5 linked regions of the Oryzias latipes genome follow. The protein of the gene in region 4 interacts with the protein of the main gene of each other region in a pairwise test. Links are inferred from orthologs where the notes say so. Each region holds a gene or a part of one and is shown on either strand. Other genes may lie near its edges.

What was found.
Region 1: the proteins of clns1a (region 4) and snrpg interact in binary tests that used the Homo sapiens proteins (3 or more experiments, as listed by UniProt). The two-hybrid records come from large-scale screens. The link is inferred for Oryzias latipes from reciprocal best matches to the Homo sapiens genes CLNS1A and SNRPG.
Region 2: the proteins of clns1a (region 4) and lsm3 interact in binary tests that used the Homo sapiens proteins (3 or more experiments, as listed by UniProt). The link is inferred for Oryzias latipes from reciprocal best matches to the Homo sapiens genes CLNS1A and LSM3.
Region 3: the proteins of clns1a (region 4) and lsm2 interact in binary tests that used the Homo sapiens proteins (3 or more experiments, as listed by UniProt). The link is inferred for Oryzias latipes from reciprocal best matches to the Homo sapiens genes CLNS1A and LSM2.
Region 5: the proteins of clns1a (region 4) and snrpd2 interact in binary tests that used the Homo sapiens proteins (3 or more experiments, as listed by UniProt). The link is inferred for Oryzias latipes from reciprocal best matches to the Homo sapiens genes CLNS1A and SNRPD2.

What each region holds. Positions count from the first base shown.
Region 1 is NC_019865.2:4,866,767-4,870,397, forward strand, and holds snrpg (small nuclear ribonucleoprotein G), read right to left. Parts: upstream 2,463-3,631; 5' UTR 2,349-2,462; coding exon 2,317-2,348; intron 2,174-2,316; coding exon 2,151-2,173; intron 1,997-2,150; coding exon 1,872-1,996; intron 661-1,871; coding exon 610-660; 3' UTR 502-609; downstream 1-501. UniProt on the Homo sapiens protein: Plays a role in pre-mRNA splicing as a core component of the spliceosomal U1, U2, U4 and U5 small nuclear ribonucleoproteins (snRNPs), the building blocks of the spliceosome.
Region 2 is NC_019863.2:18,333,738-18,337,727, forward strand, and holds the start of lsm3 (U6 snRNA-associated Sm-like protein LSm3), read left to right. Parts: upstream 1-1,182; 5' UTR 1,183-1,265; coding exon 1,266-1,286; intron 1,287-3,990. UniProt on the Homo sapiens protein: Plays a role in pre-mRNA splicing as component of the U4/U6-U5 tri-snRNP complex that is involved in spliceosome assembly, and as component of the precatalytic spliceosome (spliceosome B complex).
Region 3 is NC_019862.2:27,136,499-27,140,795, forward strand, and holds the start of lsm2 (U6 snRNA-associated Sm-like protein LSm2), read left to right. Parts: upstream 1-1,495; 5' UTR 1,496-1,613; coding exon 1,614-1,616; intron 1,617-1,801; coding exon 1,802-1,869; intron 1,870-2,988; coding exon 2,989-3,019; intron 3,020-3,105; coding exon 3,106-3,165; intron 3,166-4,067; coding exon 4,068-4,193; 3' UTR 4,194-4,297. UniProt on the Homo sapiens protein: Plays a role in pre-mRNA splicing as component of the U4/U6-U5 tri-snRNP complex that is involved in spliceosome assembly, and as component of the precatalytic spliceosome (spliceosome B complex).
Region 4 is NC_019871.2:4,487,765-4,491,963, reverse strand, and holds the start of clns1a (methylosome subunit pICln), read right to left. Parts: upstream 2,805-4,199; 5' UTR 2,537-2,804; coding exon 2,418-2,536; intron 1,592-2,417; coding exon 1,455-1,591; intron 1,305-1,454; coding exon 1,176-1,304; intron 1,030-1,175; coding exon 919-1,029; intron 1-918. Other genes in the region: solute carrier family 35 member F2, read right to left, coding at 3,824-4,123. UniProt on the Homo sapiens protein: Involved in both the assembly of spliceosomal snRNPs and the methylation of Sm proteins.
Region 5 is NC_019871.2:25,537,842-25,541,921, reverse strand, and holds the start of snrpd2 (small nuclear ribonucleoprotein Sm D2), read left to right. Parts: upstream 1-1,271; 5' UTR 1,272-1,400; coding exon 1,401-1,402; intron 1,403-2,746; coding exon 2,747-2,926; intron 2,927-4,080. UniProt on the Homo sapiens protein: Plays a role in pre-mRNA splicing as a core component of the spliceosomal U1, U2, U4 and U5 small nuclear ribonucleoproteins (snRNPs), the building blocks of the spliceosome.

The sequences.
Region 1 (3,631 bases), on a different chromosome or scaffold from region 4:
CTTTAGAAAAATTGGTAACCCTTTGTTTTAGTGTCAAGCAGCTAATGTTTTTAATTTTAAAATACCTTAAATTTTTTTCCTTTCAACGTGGAAACTTTTAAACTTGATAGAGCTCAAGAATAAACAAACTGAATCCAACTTTTTAATATTTTATGAACAAATACTTGCCTGCTAGTTTATAACAAGTTTGCCAGCTCATGAATGGAAATTACGCATATCTTAAATATTCAGCTGACTTTAGGTCTATCAAATTATTAAAATAGTTCAGCATTTATGTCTTCATCACCAGCATTCCCAACATTGTTTAGCCATTATAGCTTTTTAACAGCTAAGCTATAAAAAAAGCTTTCGAATTCCTTAAGATAAGACTAACCCTAACATTTAAGATATTCTTTTTTTGTTTAGCAGCTCATCCTCCATTACAAAAACACTAAATTCTTGCTGCATCTACAGGAAAGAACACATACAGTAACATTTCGTAAAACCAAACAAATGCACGGATAAAAAGAAAAATAGTTTATTAACAAACAAACATCTCAAAACCAACAGACTTTCATTGTGAATGAACTACAATGGAATGAGAAAACAGGAGGCGCCGCTGTGCTCTGCTCATACTCGCTCCAAAGCCTCCAACATGATGATGCTGTTTCCTCGGATGACCTTCGGGAAGACAAAAGGAAAACAGATCAGATCTTTTCACGTTTACACATTTATTTTTACACAATTGTGTGTTGAATAAGAGAAATGTTCTAGTTTGGGAAAAACTACTAAACCCTTTCCTGAGGCTGTCACATCAGGAAAAACCACGAACCTGCCAACGTTTGGTTTCACAGATATTCACTGGAACAGGCAATTGTTATTTGTTCTTCCGTAAAGACAGGTCAGTTTTGTTTCAGATAAACTAATTAGACATCTTTGGAAAAGCTGGAGTATTGGGGGGGGGGGGGGGGGGGGGGGGGGGCAGTATAATATATTTAAGAGAGATTTTCAGTAGGCATTGAGGCTCCCCTGTTGGTCTGGATGTATTTATTTTAAGTAGTAATGAACTTTTGGCTACACATAAAAATGTGGAAATGTTTTCCAGTAACCCTGCTTTATTTGCAGCTAGTCACGTGGATCAGGTGGATTTCATCAAGCAGAATCTGCAGCTTCCCGATCTAGAAAACCAGTAGCAACTAGAATACAGATGCCTGGAAAACAAACGAGGAAGTCTGTCTTATCAATATAATGTTATATTTACAAGAGAAAGTGGATAGAATAGGTTCTTTGACTAAAGAATTTTGAATAAACTTCGAAACAAAATTTGTTTTTGTAGAAAAAATTAAAAATTAGTTGCCGGAAATGATCAAAACCACTAAATGACCAACTGGGATTGCTTTAATTTATTTACTTTGACATGTTCTTGTGGCATTTTTCTGATGAGGACATATATTTAAAAAAAATATGCTTAAAATTGCTTTTCTGCGTATTTCTTTATTCAAAATGTAGTGAATTAAAAGGAGTTAAAAAAAAAGTAATTAAAACAAAAAAAGTGTATTTGTGAGGTAGAAAATTTTCTTTATCAAAAAGATGATTTTTAGAACATTTACATTTTTGTTACTAACTAGCAGACCCCTAACATATTTTATTGGTTCATATTTCTTTATAGGATTGTCTGGTTTGTTAGGAAAACAGTTGTGCATGTTTTTATAAATCTATGTAGACAGCACTCAAATTGGTTCAAATTGTCAAAAGATGGAATTGCTAATAAAGATAAAAATAAATAAAGAGTATGATCTTTAATTGAACCTATTCGTCCTGCTATTACGGGTGGGGTAAAACATTGAATTAAACTATTCCCTCATGCTTCACAGTTCTGCTCGGACACTGACCACCATCCCGATGGTGTTCTGCTGTCCCCCGGGGCCCATCTCCAGACAGTCGTCCATCACCAGGTTCATGAAGGGGTCGAACCCTCGCAGGATGCCCTGGACGTGTCTGCCTCCATTCAGCTTCACTGAAGAAAACAAAAAGAGCAAACTGATGAACATGAAGGCTGCTAGCTTAGCTAAAAGCGAATTTAATTTCACAAGAAAAAGCCGGCGAATGAATAGAAATATAGTGTAATTTTGAAATATGTATTAAATAATGAAACGAGAGTTTTAACTCACGGGAAAGCTTTTTGTCCATGAATCTGAAAGACAAAAACATTATTTAGATTTAGCTTCAATTCCTAGCTGTTCCGGCTAACGGTGGCTAACATGGAAACATACTACAATCTCGCGAAAAAGACCGAAGCTATCAGGCCTATCATCTTTCAAAAACTTGCAAACTTACTTCTTTAGCTCTGGTGGATGCGCTTTGCTCATGGTGTCTGTATTTTAACGAAACAAAGTCGTGTTTCAATTCACAAAACCGCGTAGGAAACGCGTGTGGACCGGGAGACCGGAAGTAAAACCCTGTGACCTTTGCTGTGCTGCGCCCTCGTGCGGCTGGGAGGAGTAATCTGGTTTAAAAAGGGATCAGCCAAAGGCAAATAATACTATTTGCAGTTAGAAAATGACCAAAACAACTATAAAAATACATGCACATGAAGTGTGTGATATATTTTATATATATATATATATATATATATATATATATATATATATATATATATATATATATATATATATATATATATATATATATAGAAAACCTTAAAAAACTCATTGTATTAATAGATTTTTATTTGTGCAAAAGCACAGCTGATTAGTTTTATTTTTTTTTGGTTGAACATCTGAGCTGTAATGATCAAAAGCAAAAATAAAATCAAACATACATTTAAAAAATGCGACAGTTTGTTTTACTTTTTCCTTTACAAAGGAAGATTGTGAAAAATTCCCAAAACATTTTTCAAACTTTAAATCATCACAGTGACACTGAAAAGAGCCGCTGAAAATAACTTTAGAGAAACAAAACTTTGAGGCGGCTGCTTTTGTTTGCATAGAAAGGAGATACAATCCACGTTTCCTGCTATCAATAAAGACATCAAAAACGTTTTTTATGAAGCAAAGGTTTATAGGAATTCATGCTAGACCCTCAGAAAAATGGAAATCTCATAAATTCGCACTCACTAAAAAAACAAATGGCTGAGATTCAACCCAAAATCTACCAAAGAGAACAGCCAGCCATTCAAGAGGATGTTAGCATCCATTACTTCATATTTCCTCACTAACATGACCTGAGCTACCTTAACTTTAAGAGGTTATGGGAACATTTTGAAACTATGATAAATTTGATAAACTATGATTTTTACTTTTACAAGCAATTTTAAAGAAAAAAGAAAAACAGCTTCATTCATCCTCAGTAGGATGTTGTTAGCAAGTTACCATGGTGATGTGCTCATGGAAAGCTGTCCTGACAAAAAATAAAATGTAAGAATTAATAATTATATATTTGCTGATTATTTGGAAGAAAACAGCACAATTTGACAAAACACATTCAGTGTATTAAAGACATAAATGATGATGTTAATCAGTGCTTTCCCTCTCCAGGAAGTTTAAGTTTTGATGGGAAAATAGCTTTTGAATCTGCCAGGCGTTGATTCAAATTGTAACAACTTTATTAACAAACAGAAAGCAGAAGGCATCGCACTTTGATGAGTAAACAA
Region 2 (3,990 bases), on a different chromosome or scaffold from region 4:
AGAGAGGAGGCGCACACCTGTAACCCTACAAACACAACGCGGAGAATAGCAGCCTCACAGGACCAGAGGCTGTGTATGACATCACAAACAGAACGTCTGCAACCCATTTAGTTACATTAACCAGTCTAAACTAGTGATGTTCAATAAATATAGTTTTTTCCCCAAAATAAAATAATGACGCAATAAATCACAACCGCTGCATCATTTTATCTTTACTTAAATAGCATTTTGCTTTTTATTTTCCAACACTTGGTTGGTATCCTGTATACAAGAAATTGTTATTTTTAATAAAAAAAATAATAATTGAAAAGCAATTTATTTCGTTTTTCTGCTTTTTAAGTCCACCTATTATAATTTTAGACTGTTATTAAAACGATTTCTTATCTTTAAATGCAAGACTTTGAAAAGAGTAATCAATGAACATAAAATAGCCTTTTTTGGTCTGTTAGTTTCAATTAATAAATCGATTAATTATTTAGTGTAATCATTAAAAATAAATATTTGAATAAACTGCAGATTACATTTTAGGAATATATTCTCTCTTAAAAGAATTTTAACGGTTTTCTCACTAACGGAAAGCTTCATTATGTGTAACTATTTACATTTCATTTCTCGTTTACATTAACATTTCGCATACGGAATATTTCTAAACAGACCCGTTAGACACTGAATTCCCAATAACAGCTTTACTACCACTCAAAACGCTCTGGAATATTAGTGTAGACAGGACAAATACCTCAAAATGAACAGATATTTATGAATTAATTTACCTTCTCGCTGCTCTGCGCGGATGACACGACAGTGTCCTGTGAGGACAGAAAGCTCTGGAAAACGCTAAAGGACGGTACTGGATAACGTTGCCAGGTTTGAACATACACGCAACGCGTCGAGAGAAAGGTGAATTTCTTTTCTTTATAGTTTAGTCTTTTCAGTTGTTTCAATTTAAAAGTGGCAGGGATGCAACAAGGAGATGTTTGTGTTGTATTTAAATTTTAGGTAAGGACTATGTATGGATTTACACATACTTTAAATTTAGTCTTTTAAGGATGGATGTTGATACCATAAGTTTTAATAATAAACATTTCACATTCTCAAAGTACGCATAGATATATATTGTAAACTAATTATTTGTATAAAATTCAACTTTGTTGAACTGGAAATCGAGGGATAATTCGAAACGCACGTGTGTGTTGCCGTTTGAAATCTTAATTTCACCGGACCTGGCAACCTGCGTACCGGAATCGACGCGCGCATGCTCGAACAGTATGGCGGACGAAGCTGAGCAGGTTAGCGGTTCTTTCGCTAATTATATGTTTAACCTTACAACGAACGAACAGAAGCCCACTTTGCTTCTAAAAGTGCAGACTGCGCTGCACGCTGCATTATTTTTAAAGTGCTTTAAGGTTATTACAGGAACGTTTTTGACCTGTTTGGGGCCGTGGAAGCGGCTAACCGAGTTAGCCGAATTATTAGCCTTGGTGTTCCTGTGTTTCAATTGAACGCAAATGTTTGGTTTGAAACACAGTTCATTGCTTTAGTGCTAACCAGGCAGCTAAATAGTTTATACAGGAAGGAAAGTTTGTGTAAAATGTGTGGGGAAAACAACAGCTGTAGCTCCAGCCGTCGAGGGCATGCATTCTGCTGTGTTCATTAAACGGCCTTCTTCTGATTCTGGTTACCTCAGGTGTGTTTTGCTAATCAACAGCAGGCAGACTAGGACACCTGCCCTCGAGGACTGAAACTTTACATTTGAGGTTTCTACTCTCTGAAACGCTTGGCGTTTCTGGCTGCCGGCCGCTCTGGGAGGGGGGGGGGCGCCTACCGCGGCCGGCTGGGGGGCCGGTCGCTCGGGGGAGCCTTCTCCCCCGGTTGTGCCCATCCGCCCGCTCCTCCCCGCTCTCACCCAAACAAATATTGCACACAGGCACATAGGGCCCCGGGATCTGGATGGGAGGGGTATGCTGGCGGGGCTCACTGGGGATGCCCCTCTCTGGGTTCTCGTTGGCACCCGCCCTCCTCCCCGCTTTTTACTTGCATATTAGACACTCTGATTCATCTAGGGCCTTGTGGAGAGGGTCTGGTGGAGGGGGGCACGGTGAAACATCCGTGCTCACCTTTCGCTGGCCCCCCCACAATTTTAACTTCCTCTGTAGACACACACACTGCATGCTAGCAGCACACACACAGCAAATACACACCACTCACAGAGGGACTCCGGAGTGGGGGGCTTTGCGGCTTGGCAGCGGTGGAGCCCCCCACACTGGTGACCTCCTATTTTACCTGCAGCACACACACAGCACTCCCACACCTCCATACATGGGTGGGGTCGGGGGGGGGGGGCGGCCGGTCTTCACCCGCCTGGTCCTCTCAGGGCGGCCAGGCTTATGGGTGTCCTGTCGGCTGCGGGAGGGGTCGGGCATGCGGCGCTGGGGGTTGGCCGGCTGGGGGGGGGGGGGGGGGGGGGGGGTTACTGCTTGGCGGCGGGGGTAGGGAGGGTAACCAGATGATTGTGAGTATGTGTGTGTGAGTGCATGGGTAGGACCGACCTGGGGGCTGGCTCGCTGGGACCCTCTGGGGCTTTCCCTCCCAATCACAGAGAGGGGAGGGCACTGAGAGGGTTGGGGAGGGGGGGTCAGATATTATGGCGGGGGGGGGGTTGTAGTGCGTCGGGTTTTAGGGGGGTGGCTGTGGCTGCGGGTGCGTGGCGATCCCTGGGTTGCTAGGGTCGCGTGCCTGGGCTGGCTTGCGGGGACGGGGCGCTGGTCGGGTGGTGGCCGGCTCATGGGTTCCGGGGCCCTGGCTTCGTCCCTGGCCTTTGTCTCGGTGTCCGGCGCCCGGTGGCCCCCATGGCTGCCGCCTGGTACGGCTAAGCGCTCCTGTCTTGTGGCCTGGGGGCCGGACACTGGGTTCGCTTGTGCCTCTGGGCATTGGGGGGGCCCCTGTAGGGGGGCCCTCTCTGTGCCTGGCTGGTGGGGTGGGCGGTCCCCTCCTCCTCCCCTCCCGGGCTGCCTGGGTCCGGATGCTGGGGGGGCTTCTGGCCTGGGGGGCTCTCCTCCCCTCTCCTGGTCTGGCTGGTCTGGCTGGGTAGGATCTGGCTCCCTTTATGAACACACGGTTCACGTCGGCAGCATGCATGTATCTCCACCCCCACGTGCACGTGCACACTGCCACACTGCTCCCTGTCTGCTTCATCCCTCCTCCTTACCTACAGTGTATTGATGGACAGTTTTTTTTCCGCTCATCTTAGTGTCAGATTTTGACCTTTGATGTAACATTCGTCTTTCCAGCAGATCTGGTATAATTGTTACAGCTTAAATTAATAACTTAGTCAAATCAGTGCTTGTATCCCCCACCTTTTCACCTTTCTTCCTTTTACTCTCTTCCACCCTCCCCTCACATTCTTCCCCTCTCCCTCCCCACACACACTAAATGTAACAAATAAATAAAAAATAATACGACAAAAAGGGGTTTATACAAATCTACACTCTAGTTTCTTGAAGCTATATAACCTCTTTTTGTGATAGTAAAACCTGTCCAACACAAAAAGCCTTCAGCTCTAATCTGTTTGCTCAGAAGTTGGACAGAACAAGTTAGAAAAAAAAAAAAAAAAAAAAAAGATTAGTAAGCAAACTGACTTTCATTCTAATCACAAGGTTTAGAATTTTTAGTCACCAAAATGTTTTTTTTTTGTCTTTTATTTTTATTTTTAATGCTATACTCTTAATTTAACAGTTCAAACACATTCACACAGGTTACCCAAACGCCAATACATGTAATCTGCCTTCACTTGTTTTGCTGAAACCCATGAGATTAGTAATGCTTTTATATTAAACATATATAAATGTCACAAAACAGTCGTTTTTGGTGTCTTAAATGTAGGTTGGATGTTTCAACATTTTATTTTGATTGCTGAATTAAAAACTGTGAATCACAAGTTGATTTCTGTGTTGTCAAATTGTGTTGAGATGGGAAAAAAAGTAGTATTTTCAT
Region 3 (4,297 bases), on a different chromosome or scaffold from region 4:
GTCATTTTTCCTGCATGTTCAGCCGCCAAATTTGAGGTGGTTTACAGAAGAGAAAGTAAGAATAATAATAACTATATTTTTTTGTGATTCCGATGTGTTTCCTGTGTGTGCTCGGATGATATTAACAGTTTCGTTGTGACTTCAAGGGTCAAGTGACAACATTTATTCATTCTGTAAAGTCTTTTTAGAATAGGGTTAGTTTTACATGATAGTCTATAGAGAAACTCTGTTTTTGCTTTTAATGATCCACTTATCTACCTATCCATCCTCAGAACCCACTGAATCCTTTAACTGAGCAACTGTTGAGTAAAGTTAGTGGACCACTACGTCACTGTGCAGCCCTATATTTGATGAAAATGAATTAAGTTAACAGTTGCAGAAAGACTCACTCTATCAAGTATGTATCTTGTAATAAAAGAATTTCCAAAACATAGGAAAATTCATAAAAGGAGTAAATGGTCCAGAGTTATCTCACCTGTTTGTTTTTTATCCTGAACTAGAGTCCACTGAGACACCGTCCACTCCACAGTTTAAGCACATTTAGTGGAATTTACCCGTGTCAACAACAGAAGACCCAGGAGCAACGTCTTAACTTTCTCAAAAACAAAACAAAAGAACTTTTGAATTAATAATTATTTTAAAGATAAAACTGTGTACATTCAGTTGTGATTCGTTGCTATAGAGTTTTCTGTTTCAGATCAAGTTCGTAAACCATGATGAGTAAAGAAGCTGAAAAGATTTGTTAAAACATCTGAGTGCTCGACACTGCCCCCGTGTGGTCTTTCATCAGAATACAGAAAGAACTCTTGAAACAAAACGGTCACAATTGTGTTCATTTTCTGATTTTTATTGCATCAAACTGTAGATAAAATCAGAAAGACATTGGAGAAGAAACAGAATAAAACTCCAAATGGCACTGGAGACCAAAGGTTCTTTAAATTAGAAGACGTAAACAATAAATATATCCAGTTTTCATACAGAAAACTTTCAGCATTAAAGCATGAAAAGCATGCTTTCCTTTGACCAGTATAGAAAAACACAATTTCTTTACAAAGATTAATATCGTTATTAATATAGTTTAGGTTCTATGTTTTTATTACGACCCTACGTTTTTTTTTTGTTTTTTTTTGGTGGCCCTAAAACTCCGTCGTAATTTATAAAAGAACATTGAGGAACAAACTTAATCCTGATTAAAAACTCTTGCAGCAAATTATAGACATTTCAGGTTTGTGTTTGTGTGTGTTTTTAAATCACAGTAAAGGTCTGCATACTACAAAAAAATAAAGTTTTGAGGTACAAAAAGTATCACAAACATGTCTGGTAGCTAGACTAGAAGCTAGACTAAATCTGAATTAGACTTTTGATATTTTATTCAATTTTTTAAGAGATGGCTCATAATGTTTTTTATGTCTTTTTTTTTTAAAGAAATATGAGTGAAAGCCTAAATTTAAATCTCGGTCAATGAAAAACACCTGATAGTTCCTTAATAAACATTGAACGACAGTGTGTCTCCCTCTAGTGGCGCAAAGTGGTACTCACTCACCGCTGAAACACGGCGCAGGCTGATACGTCATCAACAGCAGCCAAACCTTCTGTAGAACACCACAGCCAAAATGGTAAGGCGTAAATCGTCATTTTAAAATGTACTTTTTTAGTTTAAGTCAAACATTTTAGGTTTCTGAGTGTCAGAATTCTTCTGAATTTCTTTTGTTTTGTCGCTGAGTTTGCTCGCAGTGTGCTGAGCCGCTTTGTCGGCCCATCATCGTGCTAACATCGTCTTTTTTTTAAAAAAAATCTACAGCTTTTCTACTCGTTTTTCAAGTCTTTGGTTGGGAAGGACGTGGTGGTGGAGCTGAAAAACGACCTCAGGTTGGTTTTGATAACTCAACATACCAATTTGTTTGGTAATGTTTCTTTTCAAAGCGCCGTTTGTGGTTAAAAATGGCGCGTGGTTCTGCTAGCGCTGTTTGAATGGGTGCAGTGAAGAGCTACTTAGCATTGACAGAGACATTGACTCTGTCAGAGTTGCTGTCTTTCCTTCTAGCTGGTGTTTTGCATCTCATGCTGGTCACAGTGGCGTGGGGTTGCCATCCCTTCCTTCCAGCATTTGTTGCAAATCTGGCTCAATAGGTTGGTGCCAGCAGCGTGAAAAATGTACTTTTTTTCCTGTTAGTTTTCTGAGCTAACTCTTGGTCTGCAAACGTGCTGCAAATTCATTTTAGACCTTTTTCCCGAAGAAGTAGGGTCAATTGCGGGGGTGGGGGTGGGGGGTCAATCAAACTAGCTGCATCTCATGATGAAAGCTCAAAAGTAAATATTAAAATTAGCTTACAGTTAGTTGTTGGGCATTCTTTAAAGACGTAACTCATAATTCTTAGCTCCTCTCACAGATGGACGATACTTAGACATGTGGTACTTTTTTTAAAAACCCATCCAAATGAAAAAAGTGGTTTTGATGCCATAAGCTCCCTGCTCTGCTCCATTCTGATGCATCCACTTGCAGGCAAATAGATTTGTCCGTCTTTGTTTTCCTGGTCTGAGCTGGCACAAATAACTGTACGGCTGGATTGCTCCAATATTACTTTTTTTTTCTTTTTTGTTGCACACCTAATGTTGGGTTAAGGGGGGGGGGTTGTAAGTTAGCAAAGGATGATGGGAAGATGGGGCAGGCTTGCTCTGCACCAACGATCTCAGACAAATTTCTAGTGAACAACTGCTGCTCTGCAGAAACTGTCCTAGAAAACGACGCAGGTTTTTTTTTTATTTTTGGCTAAAAACAGCACATTTAAAGACCACTAGGAGCGCTTTAAAAAGATAAGAGTGGGATATAAGAAAAAACAGACTTTCCTGCAGCATTGACAATAGAAATAAATTTACTGAACAAAAACTTTGACTTGTTCAATACAAATTTGCATATTCCCAGAAAGTCATTTAACATCAAAAGTTCACTGTTGCATTGAAAGCTTCATTTTCTCTTTTTCCCCCCAGTATCTGTGGGACGCTTCATTCTGTTGATCAGGTTAGAAAATAATTAATTCTTTACTTTTTTTAATTAATCAATGTATTGGTTTGCAATTTAAAAATGTTGTTCTTGTCATCATCTAGTACCTGAACATCAAGTTGACCGACATCAGTGTGACAGACCCAGAGAAGTATCCACACATGGCAAGTCCTCATCTATGGTTTACTTTTTAGTCTAAAGTTTGCATAGAGGCCTCTAAAACATACAGTTGTTTTTATTCTTTTATTTCCTTCTGTCAGTATAACAAACATTTTTAAAGTTGTCTGCTGGGTGAGAAATGTAGAAGCACACCTTTGGAAGTTCAGTTTCAGTGTAGGGCAGAGCAGACAGCAGTTCTTCAGGTAAACAGCAAAGATTTAGAAACATTTTTCAGAGTTTCTAAACTACAATTTTTCAGAAAAACATTTAAAAATATGCAGAAGTTCTACACTCACTGCCCACTTTATTAGGCGCACCTTGCTAGTACTGGGTTGGACCCCATTTTGCCTTCAGAACTGCCTTAATCCTTGGTGGCAGAGATTCAACAAAGTTCTGGAAACATTTCTCAGAGAGTTTGGTCCATATTGACATGACAGCATCACACGGTTGCTGCAGATTTGTCGGCTGCACATCCATGATGCCAATCTCCCGTTCCACCACATCCCAAAGGTGATCTATTGGGTTGAGATCTGGTGACTGTGGAGACCATCGAGTCCAGAGAACTCATTATTAATAGATGATTTCAGCTTTGCTGCGTTCAAAATCACTTAAATCACCTTTTTTCCTCATTCTGATGCTCGGGTTGAACAGCAGCAGATCATCTTGACCATGTCTAAATGCATTGATTTGCTGTCATGTGATTGGCTGGTTGGAAATTTGTGATAACGAGCAGATGGACAGGTGTGCCTAATAAAGTGGCAGGTGAGTGTAAATGTGGTTATTTGACCCGTGAGAGTGGTGGGAAAAAGAGAAGTGTTAGCTTCTGAATCCCCTTGGATGTGTTCATTCTCTTCCTCTGGAAGGCGCCCTGCCTGACTCCGTGTCTCACGTGTTTCACGCTCTCCAGCTGTCTGTGAAAAACTGTTTCATCCGCGGCTCGGTGGTCCGGTACGTTCAGCTGCCGGCAGACGAGGTGGACACTCAGCTGCTTCAGGACGCCGCTCGGAAGGAAGCCATGCAGCAGAAGCAGTGACCGGGGCTGCGGGTTCGGGGAGGGGGGCTTTAAGTCATGGGTTCTTTATAGTTCAGTTTGAAGAAGACCGCTGTGAACCGCCTCCACACACTGCGCCGGTCGAT
Region 4 (4,199 bases):
AGATGCAGCAGAAAGGAGCAGGGGGGTTGCAGAGTGCAGTTATGAGCTTTTTTTTAAATGAAAAATGAAATTTAAAGCCTTATTTTCTTAATATTTGTCCTCCAGCATGAGGAAAAAATGCTACATGAACATGTTAAAAACACCGTTTTCATCTGAATGGGTCTTTAGAAAGATTTACTTTCGGGACAATCTGGATTTTTTCCGTCCAGCATCCTGCTCTGTTGTGTTAGCCCGCCCGTCTCTCGCACGGTAAAATGCCAGCAAGCAAAAAGAAGAGGGGCTCGTTCCCAAAAAACATGGAAGGGGTTTGGATTTTCAACTTCAGACTTGAAGCAACAATTTGCAGAATGCGTTAGCAGCTCCCTAAAGCACAAACTGGTTTCAGCAGCTGAGCCAGAGTCAAACGGTGCTGCTTTCTGTGAGACGATCAAGCAGCAGCAGCTCAAAAACACAACGTTTCAGAAGCCTTACAGTCTGTATTCAGTTGCAACTTGAATTGAGGTCCACTCCCAAAGGAAATGTCAAAATAAAAGCATTTCTGCTAGCTATATTCTGTCATTTGTCTTTTTTTTTTTTAAAGAAAGTAAAGAGAGGGGAAAGAAAAAAAATCAATGTAAATCTGAAATCATATTTAGTGTGAAAAAAACAGCAGAGATTTAATTTCCAGGCCATTACAGCCACAGTATGAACTATAAAGAATTAGGGTTAATATTTGAGTTTCTTTTAGTCATCTTCAGCGTTTCACTGACCATCAGTTTCAGCATCAATCAATCACCTGAAAGTTAATATTGATCCAAAAAAATCTGATTATTTTATATATGTGAGAAAATCCTTGCATTTCTGCAAAAATGATGGGAATAAAATAAGAAAAACATTTTAAATAAAGTTTCCCCGGCTGTGTGCGTCTGTTGTCCTTACCAGCTTCCTCCACATTGTACTCCTCTCCTTCGAAGTCGTTGTCTGAGTCTTCGTCGTCGGGGTCTGGATGTAACGCCTGGCACTCGCACATGGCTGAGAACATGGACTCCACTGCGTGGAAACAGACGCAAACATTTCTAATCTTCTACTTTTTATGGCAGACGGGCGGGATCAGGGGGGGGGGGCCGATCCGTGACGGCTACGCGATCTTGATCGGTTAGCCGTCACGGATCGGGTGGCCGTTACCGCTCACTCACATGAAGCTTTGTCTCTGGGAACAAATCGAATTTCTGTGATCACTTCCTCTTCGTCACCGTTGCTGCTGTCACTACCATCATCATCTTCTTCTTCTGCTGCTTTCTCTGTCATCTCAGCTTCACCCTCACCTACAAGAAAACGAACGGATGAAATTGTTGAATGAATGAAGAAAAACCAAAGCAGAAAACCCAGATCTGCTTTCAGGAGATTTGATTTGATTTGAAATGGTTTATTTCAAGCAATCAAATAAGCTTAGAGATGACTGAAGGTTTTCTTACCGCCTAGTTTTCCGTTGACCATGACGTAGAGATGCTCCTCGGGGTAGGCGCTGACATCCCTGGAGATGGCGTGCAGACTGATGGAGGGGTATTCCAGGGAGAAGCCCATCCCTGAGCCGTCGAACCACGACAGGCGCCTGAGACGGACAAAGACACAGATCAGAGGAGGCCGATTCCAACATTAAAAACCAGAAAAAGAGAATCAAGTCTGACGTCGAGTTAGCTGAAAGTGTTGCAGCGCCACGTAACCATAAAGATCTTTATTATAGGCTGCATTTTGACTCACTGACTCCTTTCTATTGAATTATTTATCCATTAACCTGAGAAATAAAATATATTCATTTAAAAATGCACTACCAAACAATAATGAATGATCAGAGGAGTTATGTTGAACCTCAAAGTACATCTTATTAAGATTTCCTGAGCAAATAATCAAGTTAAATTTAATTTCACTAAAAAAAGAAATAACAATAATCACAGGAATTAACTACAGGGACAAATCTAATCTATTATTTTTTATTCAAAGTTATTAAAATGAAAAGATTTAGTTAAACATAGTATTTACACTTCATGTATAGAGTCCATCCAGTGTTAACCTTTAAAATACAAAATTAATATGAAAAAACGGAAAGTTACTCTTTAAAGGTCTTGTGATCAGTTGAGACTAAAGTTAAAGACAAACAAATCAATGGGGATAAATCAATAAACCTATTTTAATTCAATACTTTGACAGCAGAAAATGAACCACGGAACTGTCACGTAAACATGACTTCGATTTAACGTTTTATTTTGAAAAGCAGGGCAATACCGGAAGCTCTTCCTGGGGTCTGAACTAGTGCTAACAAGCTGCAGTTTATCATCGAACATATTATGATGGATACATTTCGGGGTGAATGAAATGTGCATAAAGATTTGCCTCCAACGTGTAACGACCAAAACACGCGCGCCACGTGGATCACTTACGTTTCGGCGACGTACAACGTGCCACAGCCGAGCTGCTGCCCGCTCAGCACCGCAGTGGTGTTGGCTTCCTCGTGGCGCACTCCCTCGGTAGGAGGACGGAGGTTTCTCACCAGAACCATCGTCCGTTAGACCGTTAACGTGGGCCCGAACAGAACAGAACTGCTTTGGAACCCAAAAGGAAGAGCCGTGACCCACTTCCGGTAACAGAGCGGCTTAGTTTAACCGCAGTAAGCCTCGTTTCAGGACAAAACTCGAGTCACGACAAGGGAATTCTGGGGGGGGAAATTACAACAGAAAACGTAAAATCCGAAACAGCCAGACAGCGAGCGCTTGTTGATACTGAAATATCGCGGTTTCTTCCTTACGTCAACGAATCACGTGACCAGCGTGCCTCCTCAAGCCATCTGTGGCATATTTTTTACACTGCCCTCTAGTGGCTGTTTAGCTGATTACACCCATTCCGAACTTTTTTATTTTTAATTTTTTTAAACAGTGACGCCCCCCCCCCAAAAAGAAATATTTTCTTATTTAAAAAACACAAGCACAACCTTTTGACTATATAAATATATATACGTATATATACACAGTCAGGACCATAAATATTTGGACAGAGAGATATTATTTCTAATTTTGTTTCTGTACATTACCACGGTGAATTTTAAATAAAACAACTCAGATGTCATTGAAGTGCAGACTTTCAGCTTTTATTCCATGGGTTGAATAAAAAGATTGCATCAAAATGTGAAAAACTATCCTCTGTCACTAATCATTCAAAGAAGTCACGTTTTTTCTGAGAGAAAACCTTTTGTGGCCTTCGGTTCACCTAAAGAGCCAAATCCCAGTTTAAAGCCTGGGATTCCTTAGATTTCTAAGGTACCCTTTTTTTTAGCATTTCAAAAGATGATGATGAGATAAACAGGGTGGGGGGTCTCACACACTTACCAATTTATCAACTCAGATTTAAAAAAAAAAACTCAAATTTTGTAAATTATCTTTAATGTATTCTTTCTAATTGGTTTACTTTACACAGTCTAAACATTTCTAAGACTCTACAAGTCACATCAGCAACTTTTTAGCAAATAAAACTCAACAGACATCATGTGACTCAGTGTGACACGGCTGACAAATGAGATTTGAAAATGTTCCAGGTGTTCATATTTGAGCACAATGAAGGGTCATCGGTGAGTTTGACCCACAGAGACAGAGAGGAATCATGACCGGTTCTCACCTGTCAGAAGCTATCTGAAAGACGGACGATGATGTTCACACATGAAGAGGAATATTTATTGGTCAAAATCAAGAACATTTCATGCCTCTGACAAAAAGAAGAATAAAACAGATCAGCCTCAAAAAGCTAAGAAAAACTCCATAATTCTTGAATTTTTCATGGACACTCGTGCTGCTCTTCACATTTTAGTGCTGCTTCTGACTCCAACGGCATCTTCACGATCGTGTTCTTCTGCAGCCCTCCTCTTCCTCTTTTGTTCCCCCCTCAGTTCCACCTCAGCTGGGATCCGAACAGACACTTCTTTGGAGACGTCCTCCTGAGTGACGGGATTGTCGAAGCAAGCGTCCTCGCCAATGGAGGAAGAGGAGGAGGAGGAAGAGGTGGTGGGCTCTGCAGACCTAGTAACAGTTGGGACGGCATTGAAGGTGATGAAGCCGATCAGGATGACCACCAGGGAGACCAGGTAGAGTCCGGAGAACTGCGGAGGGACAGAAGGTTATAATAGAACGTATGAATGATTGACACAGAGAAGACCATAAAGTAAAAGATGTGCA
Region 5 (4,080 bases), about 21 Mb from region 4:
TGTGTTTGGAATTGGTTTCCTTATTTCATAAGTCACAAGATCTCCTTTGGATGTTGGCCAAAAAGGAATTGTGGATTTTACCATCTGAAAGAAGTGCTACAACATTTTTGTCAACGGCTCAGACTCTTTAAGACATCTCTTCAAAACAAAACTTATATTAGACTAACATTAGATAAATACACCTGCTGTAGATCTCATAGAACTCAGTTGTGAGAGTTTCTAAATGACACTATAATGCATCTTATAACTTTTTATAATTGTATTATAAATGGTAAATGGCGTATAATTGTACTGCGCTTTCTACCTTCCTTGAAGGCCAAAATCAGTCACCTATTCATACACAGATTCACATACTGGTTTCCTGGTTGCTGAACACTGGCACCAACCTTCCACCAGAAGCAAGGTGGTGTTCAGTTCAGCGTCTTTCCCAAGGACACTTCAACGGTAGGGCGGGTATCGAACCTGCAATCTAACGATCAGAGGGTGACCACCCTACCACGGCTGCCCATGTATGCAAGACATGACAGCAATAAACCTGGAGCCTAAAACTTTTACTATTAAAGTTTTTTTGTATTGTTTGATTTGCAAAATGCAGTTACAAAAGGCCATGTTTATAGTTTCTTGATATTGAATTATATTTTTCAAATAAATGAGTTTAAAAATACTGCTAAAAATACAAATGAACAATGCTGCATCATTTGTTTAGCACCTACAATAATAGATAAGGCAATCTGTGATTTGGAACGTGGCACATATGAAAAAAAGGAAAGGTTATTATTATTATTATTGTTTTTGTTGTTATTAATATTATTACTATTATTGTTGTTGTTGTTATTTCCAATATTTTAATTGTTGTTGTTGTTAATAATGTTGTTGTTGTTTACCAGGCAAAGGTCACAGACTAAGCAACGTCTCTTTTATTTTATATTATTTCTTGATACTGTCAACCTGGACTTTGATATCCTGCAAATGCAAAATAACTGGATAAAAGCAATGCTGAATTTAAATGTATCAAATTGTATTTAATTAATCTTTTTCGTGTATTTATTTAAACATGTTCTATAATGTCGTTTGTTAAATTGCTGCATGAATGCTGGGGCATTCATAACAGTTTTAACTTCGGCTTCAGTAACGAAATTACTAGAGATGGATGCAAGATTAGAATAGAATATTTTAGCTGATGACCGTTGTTTGATTTTTTTTCTATTGTTGCCAAAAAGAATAGAATATTTTTCGAATTTTTGGTTTGCGTCGTAACCCGGAAGTTATTCTATTTAAGCGCGTTAATATCACCGGAAGTGATTCTGTGCACGCGACTGTCGGCTAAAACGTTGTAGACACGACCGACGCACGAAAGAGGCTTTGGAACTTTACTAAACGGTTTTTATAAACCAGGAATCATGTTAGTATCTTCTATTGTGTCTCGATGTTGAGGGCAATGTTACTTTTTACGTTTAGCTGCTAATATGGAGATCGCACTATTAAGCTAGCAGCATTTTCCTTCGAGTTGGTGCTAGATCGCTTTGTGTGGCCTAGTGGGTGGTTTTTAGAAATGTGTTAAATTGGATTACATTGCAATTACTGCATTCTCAAATTAAATTGTTTAAAAAGTTACGTCCAAAGCTAAATTCTGTGATTGTACATCGCGCGAAAGCTTGATGGACGTACTAAGCCTCATTAGCTAATTGCTAATGAGACTGTTAGCTTGCTCTATCCATCATGAGTAAATGTCCTCGTTGTGCGATTGCAGCATTCATTCTTTAGAAAGTAGAAATGTTTAAGCTTCTGCAAGATGATATGATCAAAGTCGTCGGTTATAGACTCATTTTGTGTGAAAGCCAAAGTTTTGTTCTAAATATTTTGTGCGTAAAGAGCCTAAACTCTTTGCTGATCTCAAAGCACACACTGTTCAGAGATTGTTGAAAACTTCAAATGTATCTGGAAACAATAAATGTTCTGTGCTCATTTAAGGGTGGCGGGAGGCTTTAATGTTTTAAAACTTGATCCTTTTATAAAGTCTAGTATTTGTTGACCTTTATTTAGGTAAATTGTTTCTCTATCATCCAGAGCAGCCATTTTTTTTAAAGTAGGTTTTACTTCTGCCTATTTGTAGTGATCATTGTACAAATATAAAGAAATATCGAGACTAAAATGTACTGATTCAATTTATCAATGACCAAAGCATTTATTGTGTGTGTGAGATAATTCCTCAATAGTTTTGATTCCGTCTGATGTAATGTCTCCTGTACAATGGTTTTCTGGTTAATACTAGTTTTGCATGTTTAGTTTTATTTAGATATTTGGTTGTGGTCCATTTTCCTGCTTAAGCACCTTCTGCCTCTCAAATGTCTCTATTAACTGAGCACTTTCAGTCAACAGCTTCAGCTCTCATAAATGCTCTTTTGCAGGAACTGAGACTTTTTTTAGCTGGTTCCACTTTTCAGATGTCTTGCCTATATTGTACATTTTTGTGCTAACTTGACTTTATAAGAAAATGATCATTTTGTTGAGGCACACAGATGAAGCCAACTCTTGGATTCGCATTAACAGTAACTAATGCTTGTGTGTGCATTAAATACGAAAGTGTTGCGTTTGTGTCTTTATATTTATTTTTTAATTTAAAAGAATAATAATAAAAAGGCCCAAATCCAAATAATAGGCCGCCCAAGCAGTCGATGCTTAAACAGTACATCGTTGCTTATTTTGTTTGCTGTTATCACTAATTCAGAACTTGTTTAATCCACAGGAGTCTTCTAACGAAACCTAAGTCAGAGATGACGCCTGAAGAGCTCCAGAAAAGAGAAGAGGAGGAGTTCAACACTGGCCCTCTGTCGGTGCTCACCCAGTCAGTCAAGAACAACACCCAAGTCCTCATTAACTGTCGCAACAACAAGAAGCTGCTTGGAAGAGTCAAAGCATTCGACAGGTATTGGGGGGCTGCTGGTGTAGCGGAGAGAGGTTTAAGTGTGTATTTAGGACTTTTATATGAAGAGGAAACAAACACGAAGAGCTTGCATCTTGATTTAGAAAGTGTTGCTTCACTAAAGCATATTTTTGCAGTCTTTTTTTCTTCTTCTTTCCAGGATTTGAAATAACATGGCGCCTTACAGTGGTTTTATTCTAAAATGTTTCAATTATTCCCTCCTCTCTTTGACATATTCCTTTAATAGAATCAAGAATAAAATACATTCAGAAGAATTCAAATACAAGTAAAACACTAAATATAAGCTCACAAATGTAAGAGATTAAAAAGGCGTCCATAGCATCTCCTCCACATTGGGTACTGTGCCTGATGTGGGTGTGGGGTTTGAATGATTTCATTCTCTGAAGCATTGTTTTGTTTTTTTATCAAGTATGAGTTGAATAAAAAGCCACTTCTTAAATACTAAACCTGTTTTAAGGGTTAGATGTCAACAGCAAGATTTCTATATGTAGTCACTTGTGTAATAAAATCAAATTTTCTTACAAAGCTTAAGCAATGAAGAAGGGAGATTGCAAGATGTTTTATTTCAATAGTTCTTGCATTGTAATTTTCTGATCTTTTTGGTTTTTAAAAGAATAGATTACGTATGTGAGCAAATCCACCTGAGCACCCCAAGATTTCAAATGCCAGTGAGTTATTAGTATGAAGGTAAAAATGTGTCTAAATAGACGAGCTTGTAGATTTGGTGTGAGAACTTGTAATTTACAATGTGAGAACTTGCACACCAAAAATCTGCATCTGTGTGTAAAAATCTTCTGCTGTAAAGTCTGACAAACTAAATCAGAACTGACAAATTCCCATTTAGAGTTACAACCTCCAATCTGGGATTACAACTGCTCAAATGTGAATCTGCTGGCGCACATCACAAGTGCACAACAACTGCGCTCTGACTTCTGACACATTCCTTGTGAGAAACTTGTGTCAAAATTGATCTGTGTACGAAAACGGAACGGGGGGGACAATAGGGTCATGATTAGTCAGTACAGAAAGTTTGCTGACATTAGCTTTAGTATCTTTAGAACTATTGAGCACCTTTATTATGAATCATGTCTCTTAAAATGTGAAAAACTATATAAAATATATTAAACATGGAATTT